Mytilus edulis: one gene and its partner. The protein of the gene in region 1 purifies or fractionates together with the protein of each later gene. This does not show direct contact. Links are inferred from orthologs where the notes say so. Each region holds a gene or a part of one and is shown on either strand. Other genes may lie near its edges. The genes, in order: protein lingerer-like and ras GTPase-activating protein-binding protein 2-like.

What was found.
Region 2: the proteins of protein lingerer-like (region 1) and ras GTPase-activating protein-binding protein 2-like purify together in Drosophila melanogaster (affinity purification with western blotting; 3 studies listed by BioGRID, with this or other methods). This does not show direct contact. The link is inferred for Mytilus edulis from reciprocal best matches to the Drosophila melanogaster genes lig and rin.

What each region holds. Positions count from the first base shown.
Region 1 is NC_092347.1:61,470,514-61,486,631, forward strand, and holds the start of protein lingerer-like, read right to left. Parts: upstream 8,799-16,118; 5' UTR 8,699-8,798; intron 4,112-8,698; 5' UTR 4,070-4,111; coding exon 3,956-4,069; intron 3,669-3,955; coding exon 3,582-3,668; intron 2,939-3,581; coding exon 2,825-2,938; intron 2,270-2,824; coding exon 1,927-2,269; intron 1,144-1,926; coding exon 1,119-1,143; intron 607-1,118; coding exon 485-606; intron 1-484. Other genes in the region: uncharacterized protein, read left to right, coding at 9,882-10,262, 11,802-11,897, 12,855-13,468, 14,210-14,667, 15,519-16,118. UniProt on the Drosophila melanogaster protein: Acts in the nervous system to mediate the control of copulatory organs during courtship.
Region 2 is NC_092352.1:25,704,554-25,720,932, reverse strand, and holds the start of ras GTPase-activating protein-binding protein 2-like, read left to right. Parts: upstream 1-7,372; 5' UTR 7,373-7,483; intron 7,484-7,485; exon of another isoform or gene 7,486-7,829; intron 7,830-7,876; exon of another isoform or gene 7,877-7,941; intron 7,942-9,546; 5' UTR 9,547-9,567; coding exon 9,568-9,662; exon of another isoform or gene 9,663-10,160; intron 10,161-11,413; exon of another isoform or gene 11,414-12,609; coding exon of another isoform or gene 12,610-12,692; coding exon 12,693-12,774; intron 12,775-15,092; coding exon 15,093-15,194; intron 15,195-15,842; coding exon 15,843-16,026; intron 16,027-16,379.

The DNA of each region.
Region 1 (16,118 bases):
TTATTTTTAATTTTAGTTCATTTATATGTTTTAGAGTTTGGTATGACATCCATTTTCACTGTACTAGTACACATTTTTATGTAGGGACCAGCTGAGGCCCACCCCGGATGCTGCATTTTCTCGCTGGCTGTTATCTTCTATTTTGTCGGGTTGTTTTCTCTTTGACATATTCCCCATTTCATTCTCAATTTTATGTATACAGTAAAAGACTAAAGCTGTCTGGAGTGCTGGACTCCAATTTCAAAACAGATTCAGAAGCTACCAAACAATTTTCTATCATTTGTTTTGGAAAAAATAATAAATTCAAAACAATTTATAAATTATTTGAAACTGTATTTTTTAAAAGAAAACAATCCCTTTGATATAAGGGAACAGTATTAATTTTGTTGACGCAATTAAATGTTCTCCATTAAAAATATCTTTAAAAGTATATCAAACTAAATGTTCTCCATTAGAAATATCTTTAAAAGTTTATCAAACTAACCAGTGGCATTTTCTTTTTCTGCATTTGCAGCTGTCTCATTGGTCCATGTATCTATTTGTGGTCCCTTGTCAAATTTAGCTGGCTGTCTTTCTCTATCTCTAGGGGGTTGTGCATTAAAACTCCTGCAGCAAACAGATAATATTATACATACTATAACACATAATACAACCTAAACTGACTAATTTGTTAGTGATCCTGACCATTTATGGGAGCTGTTTTTGGGAACTAACTACATTGTATAAATCTATCATTTTCATGAAAACCCTGAAAACAAGAATACAACGTATAAACTGCAGAATTTAACCATGTAGCTGGTTGCTGAGAAAGCTAGTTGTAAATAAAATATAATAAATAAATAAACTTCTTTGAGACATCTACTGATAATTTCAAATGTTATTTGTAGATCTTGACTTGATGATAATTTTTGCTATTTAAAAAAAAGATATTCTTTGTCTAGTACTGATTTCAAGATTTTATATGTTTTATGTACACAAACTTTTTTATCTATTTTCATGGACCAAAAAGGGGTGCATGTCATATACAAATGAACAATAAAATCCGCAAAAATGTGGTCTCATGTTTTTTCCCCCTTTGTACATGAAGAGTTATCCTACTTTAAATAAAATAAGCATACCTTCCTCTTCCTCTTCTTGAACCACCTACAAAAGAAAATATATCTCTAGACTGATTGATTGAAAGCTTCTTAACAGCATGCAGCAAATACTACATGCTTTTCCAGGTGTATTACACATAAATGTGACATATTAATAAAGACTATGCATTTTTTTAAGTAGACTGGAGAGTTTTATAAACAATATGTATCTATGGACACAACATGTACAACACAAAATATTTTTTTTTTAATCCAGACAGTGTAAATTATTACAGTTTACAAGTCAGTATCTCAGATATATGCATTTGTTTTAAAAACTTATTTTAAATCAATGGATATATGAAGATGTGGTATGAGTGCCAATGAGACAACTCTCCATCCAAGTCACAATTTGTAAAAGTAAACCATTATAGGTCAAAGTACGGTCTTTAACACAGAGCCTTGGCAAATCTACTTTGCAAGAACTGCCAGAAACAAATTAAAACCAACAAGTCTTTCATGGAATTTTGCCTGCAGGAGTGATTTAATACACAAGTTCCTATATACTTCCTTTAACCATTGTCAGTTCAATAATTTATTCACAACAGGGACATAAACATAACATACAATTGGTGGTTTTTTTATACAATCAGCTGGCACTAGATGTCTTTTTTTTTAAATCAATGTTGATCGACAGCTGTATCAAATTTGTTTAGCCTTCTTTTTGTATTCTTGTCAAGTAGTGGTTTTTTTTTTTTATTTGTTTCTCTTTGATGCAAAATATAACTATATTTGTTTTCATTGAATAGTTTACAATGTAACAAGTAATAAAATCATAAATTATAATTACCTCTCCCACCTCTACCTCTGCCACGTCCTCTACTGTCAAACCCTTTGTCTTGTCCAAATGTACCACCAAATTCGCCAGCATCATTGTCATTGTTTTCTCTGTTTGGTCTGTCTCTCCCCCTACCTCTGGCTGCTAAACGTGGTGGTCTGCTATCATATCTGTTGTCGAACCGCCTCCCTCTTCGGGAAATATTCTCTGATCGATCTTTGTCTGGGACTTTTTCTCTCTCAGTGTTCTGTTCTGGTTCTTCTGTTTTTTCATCCACATGATTTGTTGTAGGTTCTGATTTAGCAGGAGCAGGTGTTGGCTTCTTCTTTTTCTTTCCAGGTTCTTTCCATTCTCCCTATTCAATTATATAATATTTGTTTATCAAATAGAACATAAACAGGCTAATCCATCATAAATATAGGAAATGCATTGTTAACAAAACACTTGAACCTTTTAAATTTTGGATATAAGTCTTTTATGAAAAACCAATCAGGTCTTTTTTCTTTATTGATAACTGAAAATGAAATCCAAAATAATTGTTCCCAAACTTAAAATCTATTATGTATAATGCTATCTTTTCTTTATCACCTGGTTTTCTACAAATGGAAGCAACCTGCAACAGGTGTATGAATTAAATATCAGAATGCAAGTAATAAATATTGCCATGCTTACCGAGTTGTATTTTTTTGCAATAACCAAAACCTCTCAATATTTTCTGAATTTACAGGAAAGAAAACACCAGCTTTTCCTAATTTTATTTCGAAAATATATAAAACTAGGACAAAAAATTTCAGCAAAATGTACATACTTGCATAGTATTTAAAGAAATCAGAAAATGAAATATTATCATCAGACAGTGTTTCAGTCCTTAAAAGTTGCAAATGTTAATGCATACTAATGAGTTAATTACCTGTACTGTGTTGCCCTCTAACAACATATTTATGGCTCTCTCTGTATCGTTGCCACAATCTTGTAAAGCTATTTCTACTTCGTTTTGATCTGTAATACCTGTTACATCGATCACCTGTAAAATGGAGAACACATATCAAAATCCACACTTTCACATCAAAAAAGTTGTGATCAGTTCACCACCAGATGAAAATTATTACTTTATTATGGTTCCTTTATAAATCACACAGCATGTTATAAAACAAGACCAATCAATGGGGCAACCTATCATATCAGAAAACTACTAAGTTTAATCTAAAAGATGCAAATTTATGTAAACAAGACTTTTTTCCATCTATCTTTTGCTTTGAGTGGAATAAACTGACCTTTGAACTTTTATCAAAGATTGATAGATATTTTTGAGGATATTATACAAATAAAGATAGGAAAAAAGAATTCAAATTTGGGTTACAAAGATTATAAGAAGTGATAACCTTTCAAATGTAGACATTATTGTCAGACTCGAAATCTTTAACTAATATTAATCCAACATATCGGTACAAGATTTTCTCATTATTGATAGCCTTACAGCTGTCTTTAATATCTTACATCCACTTCATTTGAATATTGCTGGATAGTTATCATACCAAATCTCCTTTCTTTTAATATCAATCATTTTTATTTTCTTGTCCCTTTGCAATATTCTGAAAGTACTTGTCATATATTCTTTAAAAAGACAACTTTTTGAAACTATGGTTAACAAATGATATAAAACATACCTGTTTCACCTTCTGTCTGAATGCCGATTCATCTAATGAATTTGCATCATTTGTCAACTGTGCCAACCTTATCTGTTCTGGAGTAGCCTAAATTTTTATCAAAATATAAGCATTATCAAAAAATGTTGTGTACAATGCAAAGTTTAATGATAAAGGACTAAAAGAACTAAATCATAAGTTTTTAAGACTGTTTTAGAGGTAACGAATTAAAACTTGAGCATTTATGAAACCAAATCTTTCGACGTTCTAACAAATGTCATTATATTTCACTGTAAGAACTATATTTTTTTGTTCTGACAATGTACTACAATACAAATTCTACAATAAATGCATTTTTTCATTTGACCCTTATCCTTATCTAGGGTAACACTTGCCTGTACTTTCTGAGGAGGTCCTTCTGATTTTGTTTGTGTCTGTGGGGTGGATTTTCCATGTTTTTCTTTCATGGGTCTTGTGTTCCCACGCGATGAAGCCACCGCAGCACTCATCCTGTACACTTATTTACACAACACTATATACAAATTTAGATACTGAAAAGAAATAAATATAAATAAAAGATGGGATGCTTTCTGTAAAGAACCAAACCCTGAAAATGTTAACATATACATGTATGTTGTATGAAACATAAGAATAAACAGTGTTCCAGCTTGAATCTCAGGGCAGAAGGGTGCTACTTGTCTGAAAGGGCACTTTAGCGCAATAACCCAAATTGTAAGGGCACTGTTTGGCAGTGTATTAATAACCTTGAATATATGTATTATATATTGCTAGGCTCAGCTGCAGAACATTACTTGTATTTTAACCTTATTCAGAAATTAATGTGTTCCAAGTGTTGGTTCCAGTAAGATTTTTTTATTATCAAATTATCATACCATGACACAAAGCATATCATTTTAATTGATGTAAATTTATGCAAACTGTGCATTTTGATCAGGAAAAAAATCCTTAGAAAAATCTTTTTTTTTATTTTATAATTTATATAACTTAATTATACAAGTCTATAAAAATAAACAAGTAGTTCTGAAAGATGGAGCTAAACAAAATTGAATTTGTTATGTAATTAAATTATTTACATTAAAACTACTTGTTTAGACATATAGTATTTGTGTTATTGAAAGTTACCTAACTTGTAAATTGTTACAAAAAAGTATTAAGAAGTGCACACCAAAGTGCTCCTAAGTAGGGAGTTTTATAAATATAACAGGTGATACAAGAGATGATTATATTATAATGATGCAATAATACATTGCATATATTACAGAAGGTATAAACTCCATTATGGTTAAAAAATAAAAGCATTTGTTAAGTGCTCCTATGTAAGGAGGATTATAATACAAGAAATAAAACAGGAAGTGGTGCAATCTTGTTATGTTCAAATACAAATTTCTTTGGTTATTCTTTTAATTTCATACTCATGGTTATAAAAACAAAACGTTTTTACCAATCTACCAATTTACTCAAAACTTAATCTGCCTTTTAAATTGTTTTAAATTTTCTTTAAAAATATTTTTTTTTATGTGTACATATGCTATGATACGTAAACATTACAAATGGCTAACATGTCAGCATTTTCATTCTGTATTAAATATCTAGTATTTGTTCAATTATCTTAAATCCACTAATTAGCAGTGAACAATCATTAGCAGAGGTGATAAAACTGCCAAAGGCATTAGGTATTTAACTTAATCCTATTGTCAGTTAATTAGTGTTACACAATCACTCAGGTAACAATTTTACCGGAAACGCCAGAAGGCATGAAATTTGTAAAATGTATCTTTTGAAAAGGCAGAGGGGGGCATTCTTTGGCTTTGGAGGGCAGAAGGGCGGGGGTAAGGGCACCAAGGGCGGGGCGCCCTTCTATTTAGGGCAGGCGGGAACACTGATAAAGATAGACCTTTATTAACTAACCTATATGGCTTATAATTGTGATACAAAAAATGTAATTGTCCCATAGAAAAACTTGGAAAATTCCTAAAATTGGACAAATGTAATATCTTGAAAAATTTCTTCTGCCCTATGATGACAAGACTTCAATCTAAACTAAAAAAAAAATTTGGGACCACTTTATGAAGATTTTTTTTTTTTGGTGGTTTTCCATAATAGGAAGGTTGTGCTCATAGGACGTTAATATAATTCACTAATGCAAAACTATAATATTCAGAATTCTTATAAATACAGTAAATCATGGTACATAATCTTAAACAACACATATTTGTGAGACAGAATTTACTCAAAATTGTTTAAAATCTGCATTTCAGGTCTTAGCAGAAACAAACTTTTCCATAACTATATCATCATGTGATGTGTTTTCGTACTAATAACAATTTTCAATGTTGCGTTTTTATTCAGGTGTTTACTCAAATTTGAAAAGCATGTCCTATCAAATGATTTTAGGTATCTAGTTTTTTGTCGAGGCTTCTACGATTTTTAACCATTTCCGATTACTTTGCGATATTTGTATGTAAAAAAAATGGCGTCATATATTTTCGCATGTATTAAAAATTGGATCAGTTCACGGGCAGGAAATGAATTTATAGTCATGGTTCTGGTGATCGCTTGAATGATAATAAAGGTTATTCAATACTTTTCAGTACTAGAAATAAATAGTAAAGGACATTATTTTTTTTGGAAAACAAAATGCAGTTTTTAAAATTTAGGGTTTAAATGTAAAAAGTTAAGACTGTTTTCATCTCTGTGTATAAAGGATCTATGAAAAGAATTGTCAATAAAATATTGAATAAATGGATTTTGAACAGCCATTTTATATAAGAACCATGATAATTTTCACGCACTCGTTTGTACTAGAAATGACCAAAAAACCACACGACAGTCACATGTCTTGAAGATCCCATGTCGAGCAGGCAGACAATATAGCTATACTTCAGTTAACTCCTCAGAATATTGCTCAACAACTATTATAGTGAGGCATATTTTGGGCATTAAATAAAAATGGCTAATCTGGTCAGTTTTATTAAATTTGTTTGAGCGTCTTTAAAAACGACTTTGAATATGTTTTAAAGATGTCAAGTTGTAGTGTTGTTGTTGTTCCAAATATAGAAACTGAAAAACCGCAACAATATACTGGTGTGAAATCAAAACAGATGAAATATGGATGATACAAAAACATATGACATTGAAAACATATGACACGACGGTATAGATACAATGTATAGGAAGATGTGGTATGAGTGCCAATGAGACAACTCTCCATCCAAATAACAATTAACAATATGTCCATATTCACACTGAAATCCTGATAAATATGCATTAATGCTAGTGATGATGACCTATCGTTATTCATGGTTGGTCATACATGTTCTCAACCGAAGTACTATACTGAAAGATCTATCATAACACATGTTACTGGCACTACCAACATAAGACTCAAAAAGGATCTACAGAAGGATACAGCATTAGGCTTACTGCATCAAGTGTCTCACACAGGGAAGTTGGCATATGATTGGACAACCTTACGATTGATGTGAATCATACATTTTTTGTGATACATGAAACCAAAGTAAGATAACAAATAAAAGAAGGACTATATACATGTAGCTAGGACATACATTTTGTACCTGCCGGCCTAACTTGGAAACCATACATTGGATCTGGCTTCAAATCCAACTTGATCAATGTTTTATAGAACGTAGCATTGTGTATAAGTTTTACAACATTTGGTTGAGGCAAAACAAAGTAAGAGAGAGAAAAAACAATTTCGAATAATTGCACCGACGTAAATGGGTATACAGCCTAAAGAACTTGTTGCCATTTGGCAGGGGCATAATAAGAAAAATACCATTAAGAAAAATGGACATCATAAAAAAATAATAAAACGTTTTAAAGTTCACAGACGGTTGGACGAACAAATGTCATTCAGTGATGACAAATAGGTTAGGCTAAGAAAACTCGATTAATTAAATAGAAATATATGTCGTTATATTAACTCTTTTTAAACATAGAATGCTGAAAATCGTAAATATTTTTTTTGTGTTTAGCATGCCGATGTGCATGCATGTGAGTGTTGGCGTATATGGAGCTACACGCCTGTCTTCAATGATTTTTTGGGGCTAAATTGGGTCTCAAAGTTGAGCAAAATTCCCTCTCATAACTAACCAAAAGAGATGGCTTGAGCTTTGTGATGATGCTGTAAGACGTCAATGCAAAAAGTATAATAGCCTTTCAAGATGTCATAATTATTTGAATTTGATGGCGACTATAGTTGTACAAGTACAACCATTAACAATATTTTAATATTATGATTATTCAACTTATCAGAATGTAACATTTTAATTATGAAATAGTTTTGTTTGTATTGTTATAAGATAAAATGTTTTTGTTTGTTTGTCGTGTTTATTAGGGTGAAATACATACATATACATAATAAATTATCTGTAAACAATTTAAGATTGACAGATAAAAACCGGACGCTACTTTACAGAATACAGCATGATTTTCAGACAAACAATTAAATTGTTAATGACCATGATAGCTTTAAAACACAGCAACTACCATGTATGTAAATGATGCATTGTTCAGAGTGAAATGGTAATCTGGGAATTCCAAATAAATGAGGCATTTAACAAAATAATATATATATCCAAAAGTTAGACACAAATTAAAGTCAACAGTTAATAAATGCTTTATCTTTGACATCTTATGTATCTTAATTTCACATTCAACAGTTTCATATGCAACAAGTCTTTAACCCTAAGTCTCTGAATAGATCGTCTGGTCGCGTACAAATATTCAGTTCGTGTTGACATCCGAAACGGGAAGTATTTTCAATGTCATTTAAATCAAAATTCATATATATTTTCAATAAGCATAACAGAATCTGAAGGGGCAATTCTCATTCACTGATCCAGAGATTTCATGTTCGGTAAATAAATGAATTACCAGTAGATTTGATTAGTAACCAAAGAGGAAACCATGTGACGCCATGCTGGATTTCCTTCGTCATTCGCACACGCAAAATAAATTAGACAATGAAAAATCGAACAAATGTCATTCTGTAGAATAAAAGACTTAGCGATACAATGTCATGGGAATTGATATTTGTTCTTAGTTGTCAAAGAAACGAATAAAGGGTCAGTTTTTATCGGGAGCCCCAATTTTACCTGGAAATGGTCTCACAATATCATTTGATCACGTGACTTAAATAGAATTCGCGCCGCCATATATAAAATTTCCGTGCATACGTCATCTAGGGATTCCCCGCTCTGTATTACATTATATGTTGAGATTTTTGTCACATAATCATTGTATATGATCAAAACACTCTTTTGAAAGCCGATTAAATACATTTTGTAGATGTCAACGCTTTCAAAATGTAAGCGAACACGGAATTCCCAATTATTTCCGGTCAGTCGTACGGAAACGAACGAACATTCTCGATTAAGGGCACATAACTCCGGAGCAAGTGCGAGCATGTTTTTTCTTAAACTGGACCCCTGTTGTGTTCACTTATCGCTACACTGACAACAGGTATGGCCTAAATCCCGTGGTCAGAATTCTGGCTACGGGATTTTATTTCTTAGCGAGACTAGTGCATCATGGGATTTGTTTATTACACATCCGGGGTTCTCCAAGCAGATGACAGTAAATTTCCATGTCACATATGACAACCCCAAGGAAATCACTTAAACGAATATGTGTAGTTTGCAAAACACAAAACGTAGCTGATAAAAACTGGAGACTTATTAATTCTGAAGCCGGAAAACAGAAAAATGTGTCAGCTTTACTAAAGAAATACGGTGATATTGATGTGATAGAAGGCTTTATCTGTCGGAATTGTGAAAGAAGATTGGTGAGTTTAGACAAGTCTAACATTGAATTTAGGAAACAGTGTAATCTAAATATTCATTTGTTAAGTGGGAAAAGATGTATTAAGGAGCAAGAGAACGATGAAAACTTACCAACTGCAAAACGGGGTTCATGTATTCAGTTATTTGAAGCAGTCGCCGTGACAACTCCATTCAAAGAAAGAAACTTTCAGAATGAATTAATTTTTCTGGTATATCACCTATTTTTTCTTCAACACCACTTTTGAAGCAAAAATATGAACCTATTACACCAAAGGAACAGAATAAGACTGTTGATGATGGATACAGCTCTTTCAAGTCACAATGCACAGTTAGTTTTAGAACTCCCATTCAAACACCTGCGCAAACCTCAAGTGACAGTTGTGAAAATATTGACCATAGTTATTGCAAACAGCAAAAACACCAACAATCACCAAAGAAGAAAGCTGCAAAGAAATTGTTTGATGTACCAAAAGTACTGGAGACCGTAGTGAAAAGTATGAAAGGTCCAGAATCAGATCTTTTGACCAATTCAGAGTGTGCGTTAATTCAATCTTCACTGCCTCTTCGTTCCAGGAAAGAACTTGCAAAATCGATTCTTGACATACCGGCATTGAAAAAGACAGTAAAGGATTTGTTGTTTGCTGAACTGTCACAGGACAATGTTGTTTTGCGTTCAAGAAAGCATGGAAAAATCAGTCAGCTAATGCAGAAAGATTACAAACATCTACAATCATTTAGTTGGGAAGTAATTGTACAAGAATTAACAGAGGAGCTTCCGCTATTAGCAGAAATACTTCTTGCAGTCATCTTACCAAATAGTTTAAGTGAGGCCAAAAGAAATGAAAGACTGGCTTCGGTTTTACCAAGAATAGGCACGGTATGTTGTGATTTATATACACCTTAACTTAAGCTTAAGGACTTTATTCAACCTACAAATATACATGTACATGTATGAGGTACACAAATAAATGAGACGATATGCTAGTTGAAACTAAACAATTTAAATAAAATGTTTCAAAAAGCTGAATATTTTTTTTAAATTAAAAAAGGTACATTGTAGTGTGCTCAATCACAACCCTAACTCAGTAACTGTATAGAAAAATGAATATAGATAAGGGAATATAAAAGATTATAAATAAAAGAACCAAACAAAAAAAATAAGAAAATTTATTTTCTTTTTCCTTAGGCATTTAATTATAAGATGTTTTTGTCTATTTGAATATTACAGGATTATTTGGATTTCTTTACCATTATCAACATGTGTATATAATTTTCAATCTATTTTTCAAATTTATTATGACCAAATTTTACAAGTATTATGTACATGTATATTGATGATAATGTCTCAGCATGAGACAATAAATCATTTTGATCTTGAAATCATGTCCAGATGGCTTCTTTTAAGTTTTTATCATCAGTAAGATTTTAAGAGACATATAATTATCATGTTGACTTTAATTTAATTATCATTGTATTGAACATTATCTGCACTTTATTTATCTATCTGTTAAGCATGAGTTTAATCAGTATTTGTTACATGACACTTACATAACAATATAAAGCTGAAATAATCATAATAAGGTACAATACTACACTTACATAGTCATAACAGACAAATGAATTAAAAGTGTGTTTTTGATTAAATCTTATAACTTGCATGTATATTAAAATATATATTGCAATATTTGCAATTCAACAACTATGCATATATATATATAGATTAGATAGATGTACATTTTGTTTACAAACACATTTTATACACAATAAATTATATGTCTTTTTAAACACTTTAAACCTTATAGTACTGAAAACCAGGATTTTTTTTTATTGTACATTAAGGGAGCTACCATTTGATTTTTATGGGGGGGCTAGGATGAAAAATTGTGTCCTGCATTTTTTTTTAGTTGTAATCTCTGTCCTGCCTTTTTATTTTTCACTCTATTCGGTCCTGCCTTTTTTTTTATTAGTTTATCCTGACTTTTTTTACCTAAATTGTCATCCTGCCTTTTTTTTTTGCAAAGTGTCTCATCCTGCCTTTTTTTTTTACTCAAAACTCCTGTCCTGCCTATTTTTTTCAAATTTCATCCTAGCCCCCCCCATAAAAATCAAATGGTAGCTCCCTAATCTAAAACAAAACATGCTATAAACAGCTACAAGTGACATTAAAGTTGAAATGGTGGTACTGGTAGTACAAAAAAATGTAAGCTTCCTCTGCCAAGTATTTAGTCAGAACAATGATATAAATATATTTCTAAAGGAAAAATACCTAGATGTTAAACTTTGTTTCACTGGTAATGATTTTACAAAAAAAGTGAACTTAAGCTTATTATTATAAAAAACAACCTAATACATTTACAAACCTTCAAAATGCAATTTATTTTTCTTGATAAACAATAGAGGTTTATTATTCTTGCAGGTTTATGCTATAGTGGCCCAAACTAGAAATGCAGAGCTAAGTAGAGTGCAAAGGTGTATCAGTATGCTACTGTTTGATTCCATATGTGATCAAAAGGTAAATCATTATAAATATATAAATTGTTACATCATTATTTGTGTCTACATTAGACTCATCAGTGACGCTCAGATCAAAGTTGAAAAGCATATGAGGACCCAAAATTCCAAAAGATTGTGCCAAATACGGCTTCGGTAATCTATGCCTTGGAGAAGAAAATCCTTAGTATTTTGAAAAATTGTACTTAGGGACGACATCAAAAGATCAATGTAGGATAAAAAACTTAATTCACATAGTTTTTTCACTGACCCCCCCCCTACTTCTTAACTTAATTTGATTTACCAATAAGGATCGATATATGTAAAAATCGATTTTAAATATACAAAACTTGCAGAGTTTTACAACCCCCCCCCCCCCCAAAACTATTTGATTTAAGTTTTTTATCCTACATCGATCTTTTGATGTCGTCCCTTATAAAATGCATACATGTACATGTATCTTCATGCCACATGCAGGTAAATTATATGCCAGAGGTAGGCTAAGTTTAATAATTAAATCAATTAAATTTTGTCGTTTGGTAATGGTCTCAATGAAGTACAACTCCAGATCTTTTAATTATTGATTAGATTATACTGTGTAAAAATCACTATTTTGACCAAATGTACCTATTTGTAACTCGAAACTTTTATTCATGTTTACAAGTGTTTAAAATAAAAATACCCTTAGTGAATCTACATGAATCTATATATATATGTTTGATGCATAGACACTTTATATCTGTTGACTTTATTTACATACAGATGAACCTGAAATAATGTTAAAAAAAATATAAACTAGTGTACCATTTTAAAATTTATTATTATTTTTTCCCCAAATTTAATCATATTTACACGCAGTAATTGTTACAGCATTTTATATATAATTCAACCTCAAGGTGGAATGCATGAATTTAAAAGATAGGTTTATATAAGTACTTAATGTAGCTGACTCAAGGTTATGTTCATGTATATATTTCAGGTATTTGATAGGTTACAGCCATTAGGACTTTGCTTAAGTTATTGTCATTCCCTCAGCATAATGGACATCTTTGGTGGTAACTTCAACACCTCAGTCATTGATGCCATTAAGCAAGGTAAAAGAATTCGCTTAGTTGGAGACAATATAAATTGGAAAACGGGTGTTCATGACGAAAGAAGAGATAGACATGAACACATGAACCATGCCTTTGGCTCAGCAGTCATTATTCAAAACACTGATTTCAGCCATTTGAGTAACATTTCACCACAACGACCATACACCCAGTTAAATTTCCAGGATTTTTTGCTTTCAACAGATGAATGGGACGGTGTACGGTTTGATTATGCCATACTAATAAGTAGAGTTGTTGCAAGGCATATTCCATCACTGGCTTTTGTGAAGGATCATCTCCCAAAGTTCATTAAAGGTCCGTATTCTGAACAGCTAAGAGCACCAAATAAAGTAGTTCCACTGCCAGTATTACATTGTAATGAACAAAAATATGATGATGTTGTACAAATAATGGACTTCTACGAAAAATTTGTGGATGATACCTACAAAGCAGCAGGTGTCCAGAAGCCAAAAGTACATACTGGTGGGGATCAGCTAACAAGGTAAGCAATTGTTTACGACATTTTATAAATTTTGGATGGTTTTTGTTTAGACAGTAAAGACTGGTTGACTCAAAATAAGTCTGAAAAATTTGGAGATTTTAAAAAAGATTTAGTGTGATTGCCAATGAGACAATTAATAGCTTAAGGTCGCTGTACCGTTCAACAATGACCAAAGCCCATACTTCATACATTGTAGTCGGCTAAAAAAATAAAATAAATGACAAATGTATACTAATTCAAATTAGAAAAGTAAAGGCCTAATTAATGCACAAAAAATGTAAGCTAGCATCTCAAACAACTCAACAAATCTGTCTTATAGAACAATTGGTAAAGGTCAGGGCCTGGTATTCACGTATTCCCGGCTATATTGTATTGTGTTTTTTTCATTGTTGAAGGTCATATGCTTGCATGAAATTGCTTACATTGTTAACATTTGAACTTTGATGGCCATGTATATATTCATTGATAATTGTCAAATCCCAAATATGTTATGGTTTTCAAATATTAAATCAACCATCAGCAAATAATAATAATAAAAATAAGAGTTCTCATGTTATTACTAGTTGTGATTCTCTTTGTTATAAGCATTCATTCATCCTAAATATTATCTGACTTTTTTCATTGGATATTAAATAGTCATTATTTTGATGTTTGTTTGATATACCTGAAGAACATTGAACGTACCCATTTACATAAATTGTGAATGAAAAGCAACATGTCAATTTTTTAATTTACTTGCAGGGAGCGCTTTTCAGGTGGAAAAAGACTGAGAGCAGGGGGAGTAACAAAGGAAGAGAGATTTGAGCATCTTTCGCCCATTACATTTGAATTGTTTCACATGATGATGAACTACGTCACACTCATGTTCAAACAATTGTACAGAAATGATAGTGAAAAAGATTTGGGGACAATGAAGTGTGAGCAGAATAGAATACTTAGAACAAAAGTCAATGAGAATGTTAACGAATATTATGATGCTGACAAAGACTTTGTAACCTCGTTTGTTGATGCCTATATAGTTGAAGCAGTTCTGGACTATTTTGGTATGGATAATGCTTCATCTGTTCCAAAGAAAAATATGCCACCACCATTTAGCAACTCAGCCGAGGCATCAGATTGGGTAAAGAAACATCTTATCTCAATAGTGGATTTATATGTGGGCCGTACTTCTGCAGTCTCAGAGACAAATAGCTTGGAAGGTAATAAATTTTATACAAACTTACTTAAAACCATTTAATTTGGATTTTGAAGCATTTTATTCCTTATTAAGCTTTATAAAAATATATTCTGATCCAACTAGGTCAGTAGGATACTCAGGGGAAAATAAAAAATCCCAATTTGACTAAAACAATTTGGTCAAGTTTTCTAAATTGAATTGTTTCTTATTTTGAAAATTTTATTTGGTAGCCTATTACATGTAAAGTATGAGTTTTTCTCATGGTTGAAGTTGTACAGTTGCCTGTAATTGCTTACATCCATTTCATTTGAACTTTGGTGGATAGTTGTCTAATTGGCAATTATATTGTATTATATACCATTGGTTTTCTCGTTTGAATGGTTTTAAACTAGTAATTTGGGGACGCTTTATAGTTTGTTGTTCGATGTGAGCCAAGGCTTCATGTTGAAGGCCGTACTTTAACCTATAATGGTTTACTTTTTTTTAAATTGTTATTTGGATGGAGAGTTGTCTCATTGGCACTCACACCACATCTTCCTATATCTATATTACCACAAACATGTACAAAATGTACATTGTTCTCCTTTTAATATATATGTATAATATATATACAAGTATTAAAAATAATATTAATTTGAAATCAGAATTTTATTTACTAAGTCTTTACTTTTTTATAGTTATTCATCATTTATATTGTCAGTTTTTTTGTTTGCTCATTTGTCTCAAGTTATTTATGGTTTTAAACCCTGTCCAGACGCTCATGACACTTGTGTTTCTCTTTTCAAAGCCAATATAAATAATAAATGTTTAATCTTGTACTGTGCATTTTACATTTTATGGTTACTACTTCTAATTCAGATCTTTACTTTTCAGTGGATGGATTTGTGATGACTGTTCCCTTAGCAAATGGAGCCACAAAAACAATAACATTAAAAAAGGTAAAAAAAGTCGTCAAAGAAGATGATGTTAAGAACTATGGGCATCTAGTCCTTGAACTTGGACTTTTATTCAAATCATTGTTAGATTTATGTAAGACTCCTAGTAGAGAAAGAGGCCTAAGACTTTTGAAGTTGGCAATGGTCCATTTTAAGGCCAACAACTGGTTGTCTAAATATGCATATGAGATCATGAGGTTCTTGGTTCACCAGAAATCCATTTTGTCTGAGAAAGAGGCCCATGAGGAGTTCTATGGATTGTTTGTAAACACCAAGGGTGGATTAGACCGCCATATACCGTGTGATCTACGGATGGAATTTTTGGTAAAGCAAATCAAGAAAAACATCAAGCACATGTTTTCAAATAAGACAGATAAAAATATAAGTGTAAGAACAAGTGCTTTACCAGCTTTAAATGACATTGCAGAAAACTTTGATAAATGTACTAATGTTTTGGTCCGTGCAAAAAAACACAGTGATGCAGATTCAAAAAAAGATGAAACAGACATAATAAATGACTTGAGACAACTAAGTCCTT
Region 2 (16,379 bases), on another chromosome or scaffold:
TATTTTTGGGCCAAAAGGGGTCTTACTGAACCTACTCCTTTGAATATTCAGTAACATAACACATCATGGCCAAAGTGCTCTGAAAACTCGTGTTCTTTCATGGAATGGTATTATTACTCATGACATGCAAACTTTCAAATGCAGAAGGAACATACGTGTATGACATTGGGAGTTGTTTCATTGAGCATTGTGCATGCAGACCCAGCGATCATAAGGTTGGATGCAATATATAAACGTATATTTTTGAATACCGATTGTAGTACGCAAGTCATGCGTTTTTTTTTAATAATGTTAGTAAGGTAAATACTCTCGTTAAATAGACATATATTTAGTAAGATTACGGATTTTAACTTAATTCCTAATGCAAGGTGAACAACCATATATTGGTTTCAGTTATATTTGTATGTCCCAAGTATCGGCATTATTTTTCCTGGTCTGTGTGTCCGTTCGTTCGTCTTCTTCCGTCTGTTCGTTCGTCTGTTCGTTCGTTTGTTCGTTCGTTCAGTCTCTGTTCGTTCGCCTGTTCGTCCATCCGTTCGTTCGTTCGTCTGTCTCGCTTCACGTGAAAAGTGGTTGAGGTAGTTTTTGAATGATGAAGTTGAAGTCCAATCAACTTGAAACTTAGTACACATGTTCCCTATGATACGATCTTTCAATTTTGAGGCCAAATTAGAGTTTTATCCCATTTTCACGGTCCACTGAACATAGAAAATGATAGTGCGGATATCCGTGTGCTATGGACACATTCTTGTTTGAGATATTTTGGGAGCTTTAAGCAGCCTATTCTGGGTTCTTATCCCATGTAGATAATTCAATATACCCGGCGTTTCCTTTTGATATCAAACTTGAAGTATTTTATGGGTTTTATTCCCATAGAGAGAAAATAACCTGAGATTACTTGTATCATTCAAATCATACCATAAACGAAGCACCGAGTGACAAGTAAGTGGATTGGACTAGGATCCTGGGGTTCGACGCGGAAATTTGTGTTTTAAAGAACATTTTTAACTACCGGCATCCATTATGAAAATCATTGCCAGTGATCCGCGTCTGTGCATGGGTTGTTCATACTCTTATATTATGGGTCCGAGGCTGATTGTTAACCAGCAGCAAAACCACCCCATAATGATTATTTTTTATGGGGTTCAATTCAACTGTCGCTTAGGGAAATCCTTTTCTATTTTTTGTTTGTTTTGTTTTAATTTTAATGTTCTTTGATATCATAACTTTGTTTTTTAACTTATTTATACGTTTTTGTTCTTATTCATACAATGTTAAAATAACATTTTAATATGATGTGCTTCTTTCGCTTTGTGTCTACGTGCCTTCCCATGTTAAAACTACAATTAAGTATATATATATAATATATAGCTTGCATCAGTTATTTCTTAATTAGTTCATATATGCTTCCCCTTTTATTTAGATTTTCCACGCCTGACGGGTAGGAAATATATATATCGTAAAAAATACGTAGAAACTGTTCTTTCTTAAACTTTCCGATGCCAACAAAAGTTGATGTGAGGCTGGCTTTTCAAAAGCATTATCCATCAAAATAATTCAGTGCAATCGAAAATACCTTAGTGTTTCGTGAACTAGCGGTTATTTGTCTTTTCGTCGTTTTTCGTATTCATGATTGCCGTAGTTGTTCGGTATTTTGTATAAATGATTGCCGTAGTTGTTCGGTTTTTTTTTGTATAAATGATTGCCGTAGTTGTTCGGTTTTTTGTATAAATGATTACTGTAGTTGTTCGTTTTTTTGTATAAATGATTGCCGTAGTTGTTCGGTTTTTCGTATTCATGATTGCCGTAGTTGTTCTGTTTTGCGTTGACTTATGATATTTCACAGTTCCTTTAGTGGCTTTTATCTCTTTGTTTGCTGATTACCACTTGCATATATGCTCGACTCTAGTTTAATGCAGATTATGCATATGAAGACATAATGATGCAGATTATGGAAATGAAGAAATGTTTAGCAAGAATCAGGTAACTTTTAACATAGGGTTGATTTGTTGTTCCGTTTTTGGAAATAGCCAGGCCCGAATTCAGACGCGCCTCCTCCCTCTTTCCCCGAATAAATGTCATTTAAATGTACCAAATAATAAACATGTTTTTCTCTTCAAAATATAGTCCAACAACTCATAATTCTTAAGAGCGCCCCCTAACATCAAATTCTAGGTCCGCGCCTGGTAACAATACCACCGTGTAGAACGCCAAATGCGGGGTGTTGGCTATGTTTGACACGGGGTGGCAATTTCGAAGCGAAGAAAAACTATCAAAGTTCAAGGCCCACGCGACATTATATCAGAAAACGGGAGCGATGAGAGATCGGTTTTTAATTAGATTGATCACAAGCAGAATTACCTAGAGTTGTCAACTTGAAAAAAATCCAGTTACGTATACCATACTCATATCAGAGACCTACATCTCGGTCTTGGGTACCATGATAGAACTATACATATGCATGTGTCTGTTTGTGACAGAAAGGAGAGACATGCTGGTCACTGTTGTTCTGAAGTCGACTTTGTATTGGTAACATTTAAAGACGGGTCCGCAGATTGCCTGTTGCGAGGGTAAACCATATCAAATACGCTCGTTTTGCACAATCAATATAAATTGCCCACCCTTCGTCTTGGTCGACCTCATATATCTGAACTACTTATCATAAAATTAATAATAAATTCTTTATTTTCAGAGGGTTAACATTACAAATTTTTACATGTGGCTTCTACATTTACATATAAAAAACACAGTTTTAAAAAGATAATAATGCATAAACATTCAAAAGGTAATAAATTAGCAAAAACATACTTGCACACTTGATAAAGGAGCCCAAAAACCAAAAACCAAAATCTAATACATAGATGGATTCAGCTTTTCAAAGAACCTCATAAAATCATAAAATCATTTTAAAATCGCGATGACATTATCGAATGCAAAATAGCATTCCTTATTGCTTGTTATAAATTCAATTCTTCAATGAATTCTCATAAAAATATTTCTTTTAGACTGTGACATAAATTAATAATATGAAAATGTTCTGTCGTTCGAAATATATATATCAGTAGAAATTCATTAATATCTATGCACACGTACAGAAAAATTTGTTAACCATGCGGAATAATATCTCAAGAACGTTTTGGGGGAAATATGAATGCCTACTCAAATCCCGCGATCTATTTAAAATAAAGAATTATTACAGAAGAGTGGCACCATTCACTTGCACTGCACAATCATTAGAATAGTAGAAAAGAATGATATACAAATGGATGAAAATTATATATTCATGTTTTACTGTTATACTAGTATACAAATATTAATATAATATATAACAACAAACCAGAGTATACTTATTTGTATCGCTACAACTTTAATAGTTATAACGGTGAGATTGAATTCTCTGTCATTTATTCATCATCAATGCACGCACGAACTTGTCTCAGATTTTTAAAAAAATTTATTATACCTCACTTTCAGGTATACAGATGTGATTTTTTTTTTAGACAAGTGTGACCATCAACAAGAACTTGCAGTCATCCGATGTTCAGTATTTCAGTACTTTCATTAATCTTTCTTCTAATGACTCTGTTAGAGCAGTTTGCGTAAGGAGCTCACTCCTTCATGCGCGAGCATAACGTACCATACGACGGAGCAGAGGACTAAACAATATATAGAGAATATATGTTATTTTTGCCCGAGTGATTTAGATCTTTTATTTAATTCATGATATATTTTTTTTTCACTGACCCCATCACTCATAATATTTGATTTAAGTGGATTTTTTTTTTATCTTACATTGATCTTTTGATGTCATCCTTTAATCAACTCATTGCCGTTTCATCTGAAACTGTGAACATATATTTGTTCCGCATAATACTTGTTCCCCCTGGAACAAAACTATGGATAACAAAAGTTACATAATATTAATTCCACCTTCATAAGATATTTTCCTGGAACTAAAATATCATATGGTTTCATAATATTTGTTCCTCTAAAAAAGAGTGTCATTTGATTTTTATGCCCCACCTACGATAGTAGAGGGGCATTATGTTTTTTGGTCTGTGCGTCCGTTCGTCCGTCCGTCCGTCCGTCTGTTCGTCCGTCTTTCCCGCTTCAGGTTAAAGTTTTTGGTCAAGGTAGTTTTTGATGAAGTTGAAGTCCAATCGACTTCAAACTTAGTACACATGTTCCCTATGATATGACCTTTTTAATTTTAATGCCAAATTAGAGTTTTTACTCCAATTTCACTGAACATGGAAAATGATAGTGCGAGTGGGGCATTCGTGTACTGAGGACACATTCTTGTTTACACCTGATTAGATCTGAATTAACCGGCTTGGAATCTGAACTTAATTGATCTATGTTTATATTAGTTGTACTTGCATCATTCCTTTTAATAATATCTATAGATATTGTAATAATAGTTAAATTTAAAATTTATTTCTTGTCCTGCACATGTATAATGGGGGGGGGGGGGGGGGGGGGGGGGGGGGAGGGGTCCCGATCCCGAAATCCTGGGTTTAAAACACAAAATCCCGAGGACCCTAATTCAAATAATTCAAGTTAATCCCGACATCCCGAAATTCGAAAAAAAAATAATCCCGGATTCCGAAAGGGTCAATCCCGAAATTCCGAGCTTAAAAATACCCGATCCCGTAGTCCCGATAAAAGTCATATCCCGGTCCCCTCTCTAAGAGTAAATCATTGATATTTGACAGATATTAAATACAAATATTTTATTAGCACAAACTCATCAACAATAAATGGTTAAGGCTCATGGTATATCAATTACATAGTTGGTCAAACATAATAAGTATTACAAATAATGAGTATATTAATATGTAATATTATAAACAATGATTATGAATTAGACATTTTGACAATTTTATGGAGTTTGTTCTGCTTTACGCAGGTTCAAACTGTCTGAAATGAAAGAGGACGTCAATTTTAGGATTGTGTATGAATTATTATTTAATAAAAAGATTATATTATTTTCATGTTTTTTTAATTTTGTAGAATCAACGATTATATTTGAAACTTTTGATAAAATATGGCCCTTTTAGTTGAGTATTTTTCACAATGTAAAAGAAAATGGTTTTCATTTTCAATTTGACCAGAGTTACATACAGAGCAGTATCTCTCATTTCTGGGAATATTTAAATGTCTCCCTCTTTCAATCATCAGCATATGAGCGCTTATACGGATCTTACATATTGCAGCTCTGTCACTTCTGATTTTCAATATATCAACATAGGGTGGTCTTCTGTCCATTATGTAGACACTCTTGAAAAAGTCTAACTTTTTTTATTCAAATATATTTGCATTTTGAACTTGCAAACATTGGTCATTAATTCTTTGTTTAATAGAAGTTAAATTACCTTTAACATAATTAAAGTTATTGGTGATATAAGACATTCCAAGTCCATTCAAAAGACTCTTGACCTTTATGACCCAAGGGTTTGAATCTACAGATTTAGTGAATATATCATATGCCAAAGAATTTTCCGAAGAAATTATATGGTTCAGGTAGTTGAATATTGAATATAATATTTTATTATTCAAGGGAATTCTATTAAGTTCGGCTCGACATCCATCATTAGATGCCTTACAGTGAACCCCTAATATGTCTTTGATAAATTTAACATGAAGTTTTTCAAAGGGATCAGAGTCTTTAAAATGTGAATCCATCCCCCAAATTTCACTACAATATGTAAGAATGGGAGTAACTAAACAATCAAACAATTTTTCAAGAAGTCTACATGGGTTGTTGAGACCTATAGTTTTCTTTATCTTATAATATGCCTTCCTGGCTTTTTCCATGAGAGTATTCACAGCAAGGCAAAAATTGCCATTATACTTTAAAACAATAACCAAGTAACAATAATTTGTTACCGTTTCAAGATATGCATTATCATAAGTAAAATGGTTTAACAATGTTTTGCCATTAGAATTAAATATCATAATTTTTTATTTATCAGTATTAACTTGTAGTTTCCATGACGAACAATATTCATGTAAAATATCAAGAGATTTTTGTAGACCCTCTTCGCTTTCAGATAGTAAAACAATATCATCTGCATATAAAAGAATGTTCAAAGAGGTATCTCCAATGGCAACTGGATCCGTATGTTTGTTATCAAGATTACCTACTAGTTCATTTATAAAATAGTTAAAAAGAAGGGGACTCAATACGTCACCTTGTTTAACATCCCTTTCTGGTAGGAATGGAGGACTGAAACCATTAGGGAATTTTATTCTACATACTGTATCAGTATACATTGAATAAATAACATTAAACATTTTTTGGGGGATATTATGTTTTATGAGTTTAGAAAATAAACCTAGTCCATAGGCGGATCCAGGGGGCCCGGGCCCCCCCTTTCGTGGGAAAAATTTGGTTGATTATATAGGGAATCATTGAAGCATGACTGGAGCGGGCCCCCTCTTAGGTCAGTCAGCGGCCCCCCCCCCCCCTTTAGGAAAAGTTCTGGATCCGCCACTGTTAAGTCGCCATACAGTATCAAATGCCCTTTTTAAGTCTATGAAGGCAGCAACAAAAAATTTCCAAGTTTTTTTGTCTATATTGATCAGTTATGGTCTTAAGAGTGAATATGTGGTCAGCTGTACGACTTTTCTCTTTAAAACCTATTTGATTTTTACTTATTAAATTTTTGATATCCATAAATGTTACTAAACGTTTACATGGTTTATATAAAACTTTATTAAAAAGTTTACCCAGGTTGGAACTAATAGATATACCTCTATAGTTCCCTGATCAAATTTGTCCCCTTTCTTATGCAAGAGAACAAGACTAGTAAGCTTTCATTCCATAATCTCGGAAGTTGACCAGATTCGAATATGCTATTAAAGAGTTTATGAAGTGGTTTTATTTAAAAAAATAGGGATTGCATTTTTCAACATTTCATTGGAAATCATGTCGGCTGATATGCTTTTGCCATTTTTTTTCAAACGAATAGCTGTTACTATCTCTTCAATTGTTATCTCTGAACTCAAGTGAGTTAAGTCATCCGTAACATGTGATAAATTAAACTGTTCTTTTAGAGAGTCAAAATCTTTAATAATTTTAGAGTGAAAACTATTGTGATTTATGTCACAGCTATTCAATTTTGTTATAAAACTGGATGAAATCTTCTTGTGGTACAGATTCATTTTCTTTGTTATTACTTTTTTGTCTACTTAATTTATTCAAAATGTTCCAAAACATCTTTTCAAGAGACATACAAAATATGTCTCTGATATTTGTCACGGTACCAAAAAGTGAAATAACAAAAATAACCTAACTGCAGAAATTTAAAAAAACCAGACAGTTCTTTGATCCTTATAACAAAACCAGAAGAGTTACTATCATATATCCTGATTCAGGACTATGTAAACCGTTTTTTAAATCTGATTTTGTTTTTTATGTGCCCATTCCGATCCTTATTAGCAGAGAAACAAAGAAATGCATTCTCATTGAAGGTTAAAGGTAAGACTTCGGTGGTCGTTTTTGAGTTATTAGAAGTGGACTACTCTTATTTAAAAGAAATTTTACGTTTAAAATGACAAAAACATTGTATGTTCTTTGAAGAAATTGAAATTTTGACCACAGTAATTCCGATTTGGGGGATACAATTTGGCACACAGGGTGTCCCCGTTATGTGCGCAAATTTTGACAAAATTAGGACTCACTGCGCACACTGCATGTGCAATTCTTCGTAGTTTTTACGGACGTCAAATCCAATATTTTATCATTTTAAGATTCATATATTTAGTATTCTAATGTATTTGTAAATATTTTATTCACATATCACCAAAAATTCACCATTCGTGAGGTAAGTTTACATCAAAAAATTGATATTTTACAGTGAAATTATGAACCGGTATTTTTCCTCGTGTGTTCAGACATGGCTTCCGTGATTATTTTCACTTTCTGATATACATTTTGTAAGCGTTTGAATGTTTAACCTTTTTGTGAAAATTATCCTTGATCCTTTGACATAACTTATGAAACACTTTATTGTCAGATTTGGAGAAATTCTTGTACAGAATTTTGAGGTTTATTGCCATGAAACAAATTATTTTGTAGTGTTGCCATGAAACTATTTTAGTAAAGGTATATCATTATATCTAAAGAATATTTTCATACTGACTGAAATTGATTAATAAAGTCTTCTCTTGTTTTGTTAAAAGTTAATCTTGAAATTAATTTTCAGATTTAGTAACTTTTATTTTGTTGGATAGTTTACTTTCACATAATTTGGTGCATTTTCTAGAACATTCTGATGTCAATAACAGAAAATATAAGGAAAAAAAGCGTTTGTTCCGGGATAAGTTAGTAACCGAAATGTAGGGATTGTCACTTCCAACATATATCGAGGGATGAGGCAAATAAATGTTGATCTTATAGTTATAATTTATACTGCACAAAATATTTTCGAAATTTAACAAGTTGGTCACCTTCCCAAAGTTGTACGGAAATGAAAATCCTGTACTTACAGAACATCAATTATTAACAGACTACCCTGCAGAATGGCGATTCCGAAAGTGCTTGAACTTTTAATTAGGCAGGGATACAATTGTGCCTTCTAAGTTCTATCTGGCAAATGACATCATAAAGGCTTAAGAAATTGATGATCTTTTCTGGTAGAAAGACATTCGAGGAAGTGGCATATTGTTCAGTGATGTCTTGTAAACTAATGATGAATTCACTGGGTTCAACAGGCATAACCAATTATGATTTTTTTAATTTAAATATGGTTTAATCATGTGCTTCTTATTCTGCCTTCATGTTCGCAACTTTTAAAAAAGTGTCTGTTTTTATTTAATATATTCCTCTGTTTGTGCTTAATTTCCTACAACAGGTTATTATTCTTTGTATAATCACCAAACATGGGGTTTGTTCCCATCTTTAAACAGACATGACTCGTATTATAAAATAATTGAAATGGTCTGTTCTTGTGCTGTATAAATGAAATTTTTTATTTAAATTTATATCAATTTTATTTCTTATACATGTAGCATAGATTTTTTTTTCTATGATTGCTCTGATAAGTTTTGTGTGCCAGCATTTAATTTTTCTCCATAAATATTTTGAGTGAAAACTGATAGAACAAACAGTATTGTCACCATGATGGGAGAGTAGTGGACAGAACAGGATTACATTATTGTATTTAGAGATTACAAGGATGAATGAACAAATGTAGGGGTATTCATTAACAAAACATATCATCATGCCAACAACAAAAATAACCAAAAAGACTTCACCAGTTGTCCTGGTATTAAAACCTCCTTGACTCCTAAGTGAGCCCATGATTCACCTGTTCACAGTTCAAGTTCATAGAAAGAACACAAATATTTGACACATTAAAGTTATAGAAGTACAGCAACATTTAAAATTTATTCTTTGATAACATTTTCTAAATATTATTGTACATGTAGTAATTTTAAGCTGCAGTAGGTAAATTGTGTAAGGTTATGTCAGATAATTAAAATGAAAAAGACCTGAAATAATGAAAAAATTCTCTTAATTTTATAAATTGTATTTTTCAGATTACTTAATAATACAAAGTCATGGTTATGGAAACCCCAAGTCCACAGTGCGTTGGCCGTGAATTCGTTAGGCAATACTATACCTTGCTAAACGAGGCCCCACTGCATCTTCACAGGTAAATATCCAAGTGCAGATCTAACAATTCGGCTTTTGTAGACCACAATGTCCTTAATAAAAAAAAACAACATCAATTCCAATGAAAATGCATATGACCTGTCACCAAGAAAAGAGGATTACAGACAAATTTCCGTTGGTGAACAAATTTCTACCATGCCATACGAAAGATTGTTTTGATCCATTTGTAAAAAAAATGGCATGTAATTTTTTCAGGTTCTACATCATTTCAGATGTCAATTCTCAAAAGAAATAACCAGTCTTTGAAAACTTAGTTGTGTCTGACAAATCACTTGATTTTTATTAATATGCAAACAAAGCAGACATTCTGAGCATGTTAATACACTGCAGTTGTCAAGGTTGGATCATTATCAGTTGACTTAGGCTGATCAAAAGGAATTTACAAGTATGGTCATGATCACCAAATTTCTTCAAAGAGATCAGACAAACAGTACACCTGGAAAGGTTCAAGGCATGGCTTGACCCAGATTTATAACTGGTATTAGTGTTTCCTGCAGCTTTTAAAAAGGGCAGGGTAATTGTTAGCTCAGAGGGCACATTAAGCGCGATAGACAATAACTTTAGGGCACTTACTTAACATAAACAGGCAATTTCTATAAAATGGATTCATTTAAAAAATACTAGTTTAATGACCTCTTAATAGTTATTGTTCAAAATATATACATGTAACAGACTTCTTTCTGGGTCTATCATATTCTTGATGTGGGACCACATTGAAAAAAAATGTTGGTTTGCCAAAGCCAGAGTTCCATAAAAAAAGATCAGGGTGATAGGTTTTTTTTTTTTTTAAATATGAATGGACTATTTAAAATGATTAACTTAAAGAATTTGTCTGGTCATTTTTAGTAACCAAAATTTAGTAAATTACAAAAAAAAATAACTTTACAAATTAACCCCTTCCCCTCTACACCCTTTTCCAAATTAAATTAATATAGATACACCAAGTTTATTACTTTCATGGCACTACCATATCAGCTGTTTATTTTAAATGTCTATAAATAGCCAGAAATAGTTGTCTGTTACTTAGGTGTTTTCCCCAAGTATTTTTCCCGCCTAAAATGATCATGTGACATGTTTGTAAACAAAAGACAACATTTCATCAAGGAATTCATTTATTTTCTGGATTATTCTGCTTTTAATAATTTAGTTTGGATTTTTATTCATTTCATTTAAGGTACAGTCAAGCATTTGTATTTAAAAATAGTTTGCAATGAATTTTTACTTTTCACTTTGACAAATGTCTCATGATCGCCGTTCATTGGCTTGTTCAACCATGCAAACAATGTATATTATGTAAATTAGAAATCTATCAGCTGTCAAAAATATTGATCTAAGCAATCGATGTTTTGAAATCGTTTTCCGGTTTAGTCTTGTCAAAACAATGTCATATCATTAATCTTCTAGGCAAAACGGTGTTTCTGGGACTTGGGGGATACAATCAGGACGCGTGATTAGTATCTGTATTCACTATTCAGTCTATTGCAGTTTGCTAATCAGCTGATTACGAAATCGATTACAAAATGGCGTCCTAGTGAACTTTTGTTTACGTTTGAAGGGAAATAACTCGAGCGGTATTCATAAAATATGTCTTTCAGTACCGTAAAGGCATGGCGTCAGGAATTTCGACAAAACTAGGGCAGGGCGCCAAATTTTTTCCCCAAAAAGGGCAGGGCGTCGAGAAATCGCGGCAGGGCGCCATTACACGCCAAAACCACCTGTAGGAAACACTAGGTATTGTCTTCACTCTTGTCTTGACAGAGTCACATAGCAAGACATAGATACAATGTATGTTTTTTTCTGGTGGTCGCATGATCAATGTATTTGTTTGTGATTAGGTTTAGTTAATAGTGAACCACTAAGAAATTGTAGGTCAATGATGTGTGGTATGAGTTGTATTAGCATAAGCACATCTCATTTCCATAGAGATTTTTGGCCCCATCCCCTCAGTCATGGTCTAATAACTGAAACTTTTGCTTGGTTTACATGTTTTAGTTTGTTATTATAACCCCACTTTAAAAAAATGAGGTATACTGTTTTACCTCTTGTCTGTCCATCCATCTGTCAGTCCGTCAGTCCCATGAATATATTCGTCATATTTTTCTCAGGAACTACTTATCTCATTACAGATTCATCTCTTATCAACTTCCTGTTTACCGAACACTAGTATCATTTTACACATGATAGTACAATGTAGCCAAGTTGAAATTTTTGTCACATATTTCTCAGGAACAACTTTACTAGGAGTTCTGAAATTTGGTTTCAGGGTTTATATATAAGTCAGCTCTACCATGATGGATTTTGAGATTTATCACCTTGACAACTTCTTGTTTACCGACATTTTTTCGGCGAGGGTTTCATCAGTGAGCAGTTGCTGGCAGTTTTACTTGCTAGGTCAATTTAAGGGTAATCATAAGTGGAAGACCAATGATAATGGTATGCAGTTGTGTAAGCATCAGTACATCTCACTTCAAATAGCTGGTCCTTTCCCATCAGTCATATGTCTATTGACTTTAAAACTTTTGATTAGTTTGTGATAGCTCAGTTTAAGATGAACCACTAAAAGTCTATTGATAATTCAACGAAATTTCACAATTTGATTTACAAGTCTCATTTCCATGGAGATTATACAGCCCCAACCCCTCATCTTGGCTCATTGAATTTGACATTTTTACAGAACTTACCAGTTAATGTTTGTGTAACGGTTTGTTTAAAGGGAGCAACTTATGATCAGTCAATGGTGTTTGGTTTGCAGTTGTATTAGCATTCGCACACCTCATTTCAATGGAGATTGTTTAGTGATGTACCTTTAGTCATGGTTTATTGACTTGAATATTTTATCATGGCATACATGTTGAAGTATTACTATTTTAATTTCAACATTTGCACTATTAAAATAGGCAAAATATATCTCTGGCTTAACAGTTTATATGCATTGTATGTTTCAGAAAATTGTTATTTTATTTAAATTCCAAGAATTTTACTTCATTTACTTATTTTTGAATTATTACAGATTCTACAGTCACAATTCTAGTTTTGTTCATGGAGGTGTTGAAAAACCAGGAGAAGAACAACCACCTGTCATGGGACAAGCTGTAAGTTATATCTGTATGATTATTGATGTTAAACTGATGTTGCGTGGACAATGATTTGTTGGATCTATTTGAGTATTTGAAGAGTTTTTGTATAACATACAGTAAATTGTCAATAGAATTAATTTTTTTCACAAATCAACATTATTAGCCTTTGTATGCTGATCCCCTTATGAGGCAGGTGCTACCATTAACAAAGTGTGTGTATAACCATTTAACAATATTATTGTTTGAAATTAACAATCAAGTACTGCATGCCTGCATTCAATCTGCTCCAATATTATATAGAATTGTGAACAAACAGTGTTCTAGCTAGAAAGTATTAACAGGGCCCTTTTTTGTTGACGCCCTTGCCTTTTTTCTATTGTTTCTCTGGCGCCCTGCCGTTTTTATGACGAAAACCTTGGCATTTCTGCCTTTGAAAAACCGGAAAATTTGTAATACATTCATGAACAGAAAGTTCACCTAGCTGTGTAAACTGTCCAATTAAGTGACTCATTAAGTGCATGGCTTCACTTGTCAGCTTTGGTGTCAAATACATTGTTTATTAACACCAATTACCTTAGCTTTAGGTCATAAATAATTTGTTTCATCTCAAAAATGTTTGAAAAAAAAAATAATAGTTTCTTCCCCTTTTTTGTCACCATTCACAATATTCTTCTTAAGTTTATGTTCTTTTTCACAAAAAGATTAAATTTATAACAAATTGATTGCAAATGTATTTTAAAAATAAAACTTCCAATTAAATTCACCTGAAAACATCTAAGAAAGAATGTGCATATATGTAGATAATAGCCTGAGATTAATTACTAAGTTAAACATGGAAGATTGTGTCATTAATTGAAATTTATTACTTAATTTTTACTGAAAATTGATAATACCATATAGTGCCTAAGTTATATGCTAATTAATTATAACTCTTAAATAATTGCCCTTTTTCAATGACATGTACACGTTAAATTGGCCTTTTTCTGACTAGCACCCTGCCCTTTTCAAATTCTGGCTAGAACACTGACAAAGGATGACACTCCAAATTTAAAATTTTGCCTTAATGCATATTATTCAGCTTAATTGTATTTGAAAGAAATCCTTAACTTTTAATGCCCACGTGCACTTTGATTACTTTACAGAGTTGATAGTTGATATTGAGCTGAAAATCCCTTTAAATACTTGAAAACAGGGTTGGCAAAGTATTACCCGCCCGGGAATTCCCGAGTGGGAAAACCCGGCTTTTCCCGGGCTGAACAATACTCTAAGAAATGGAAAATCCTGGGCAATACTGGGCAATATGATTTTTATGCCCCACCTACGATAGTAGAGGGGCATTATGTTTTCTGGTCTGTGCGTCCGTTCGTTCGTCCGTCTGTCCCGCTTCAGGTTAAAGTTTTTGGTCGAGGTAGTTTTTGATGAAGTTGAAGTCCAATCGACTTCAAACTTGGTACACATGTTCCCTATGATATGATCTTTATAATTTTAATGCCAAATTAGAGATTTTACCCCAATTTCACGGTCCACTGAACATAGAAAATGATAGTGCGAGTGGGGCATTCGTGTACTGAGGACACATTCTTGTTTAAGCTTATTTTAACACGAAATAGTTCAGTCTTGGTGTAGTTTCATAGTATTACAGCTAAATATATACTTTTTATACAGATAACCATTGACAGTCATTTCTAAAAGAATGAAAAATTTAATTTCATTCCCTTCTATATAGACGAAATACAAGATTTGCACATTTAAGGAAACCTTGTTAATTACCAAGCATTGTTTCAATATTAATCCATACTTTGAAAGAAAAAAAAATATTGCAATGTTTTAGTGAATTGTTCATTTCAAATGTTATACATTCATATTGCTAAATAAACACCCTAAGAGGTCATGCCATTAACAAATATAGAATTGAAAGGGCTGATTATTGTTACATAAACAAATCTGCATTCTAATCTGAATAATTATTTACTAATTAGTGACAGTACATAGACATTATGTAAATATAATTTTTCTTACATGTAATTGTTAATCCTTAATAGGAGTTATTGTTATTTACAGTTTTACCAATCCAAACAAACAAAAAAGGTTATATATGTCTTGAATGTATAACATTTGTGTTTTATCACTGAATACTATATAATATTCAGACCAGTATTTTATATTACCCAGTATTGCCCAGTATTACCCATTAAAACCCAGTAAAACCCGGGTTTTCCCAGTATTTCCCACTGGGCTGGGCAATACTCATAAAACCCGGGTTTTTGCCAACCCTGCTTGAAAAGTGTAAAATGTACTCCTTCAGAACTGATGGTGATATATTTTTTTTGCAGGAAATTCACAAAAAGATTATGTCTTTGAACTTCAGAGATTGCCATGCCAAGATCCGACAGGTTGATAGCCAAGCTACTGTTGGTAATGCAGTTGTTGTCCAGGTTAGTTGTTTTAGCTGACTCCAGTTCTATCTTTTGTCAGCTTTTCCATGGATCCAGAGTTTTAGTTCTTTTAAATTGATATTGCAATGACAAAATTATATTTTCATAAAAGCAATTTTTTTGTTGTTAAACTTGAGTTATAAAGAATACTTCATAAATGTGAAAAGATTTGCTATGAAGTCGTGTGACATCAGCGACGGCACAATTCTGTCTGCGAATGTGTATAGACATTGTTAAAAGTGACCAGTCACGTTAGTATATAACTTCCAGGTTAAAGATCTAGTTTTGAATCCAGTCCATATTCTAAAATGAAAAAAATATAATACTTATCAATAGAAAATCAACATGTTTACCAGATCGTAGATGCTGTTTATCATTTTATATATGCATAGACTTAGGCTAATTTTCCTGGTCTTCTTAAAACTTGTTGATGAGCCCATGCTCAGTGTTAATTCTGTACTTTGACCTATTATGGTTTACTTTTTACATATTCTCATTTGGATGGAGAGTTGTTTCATTGGCACTCATACCATATCTTCTTTTTTCTATCATCTTAAAAGATTGAACAAAAATTCAAGAGATTTATTAAAATTTTATTCTGAAAGAAGTTCAGACAAGACTGACATTCCTCCACTATTATTGATTCAGGTTACAGGAGAGCTATCAAATAGCGGTCAGCCAATGAGGAGATTCATGCAGACATTTGTTCTTGCACCACAGTCACCAAAGAAATATTATGTCCATAATGATATTTTCCGGTACCAGGATGAAGTATTCCATGATAACGATAGTGATATGGAAAATCTTGAAGAGGGCCTTGGTGATGAAATAGGTAAGTAATGTTTCCTTAAAGAATTGAGGATATTGATAAAGGTGATCAGAAAAAATAAGTGTTGAGAATTGGCACATATTTTTGTTTTCACTTACCAAACATAAAATTAGGCCACAGAAAGCAATTTTCAAGTTTATATTGCTAGTTGATTCTGGAACCTTTGGAGAACTATGGTTTTGGAGTGAAGAGAACTGGTCAAAGGACTTAAATCAAATTTAAATCATTCAAAAACAAAATGGCAGGCATCTTGATTGAAACAATAACATGTGTCAAGTTATTGCCTTTTTAAACAATGATCGTTAAATTTCAGTCCATTTATTGTCCATAGGTCTTTTCTTTAATTTCATTTCCAT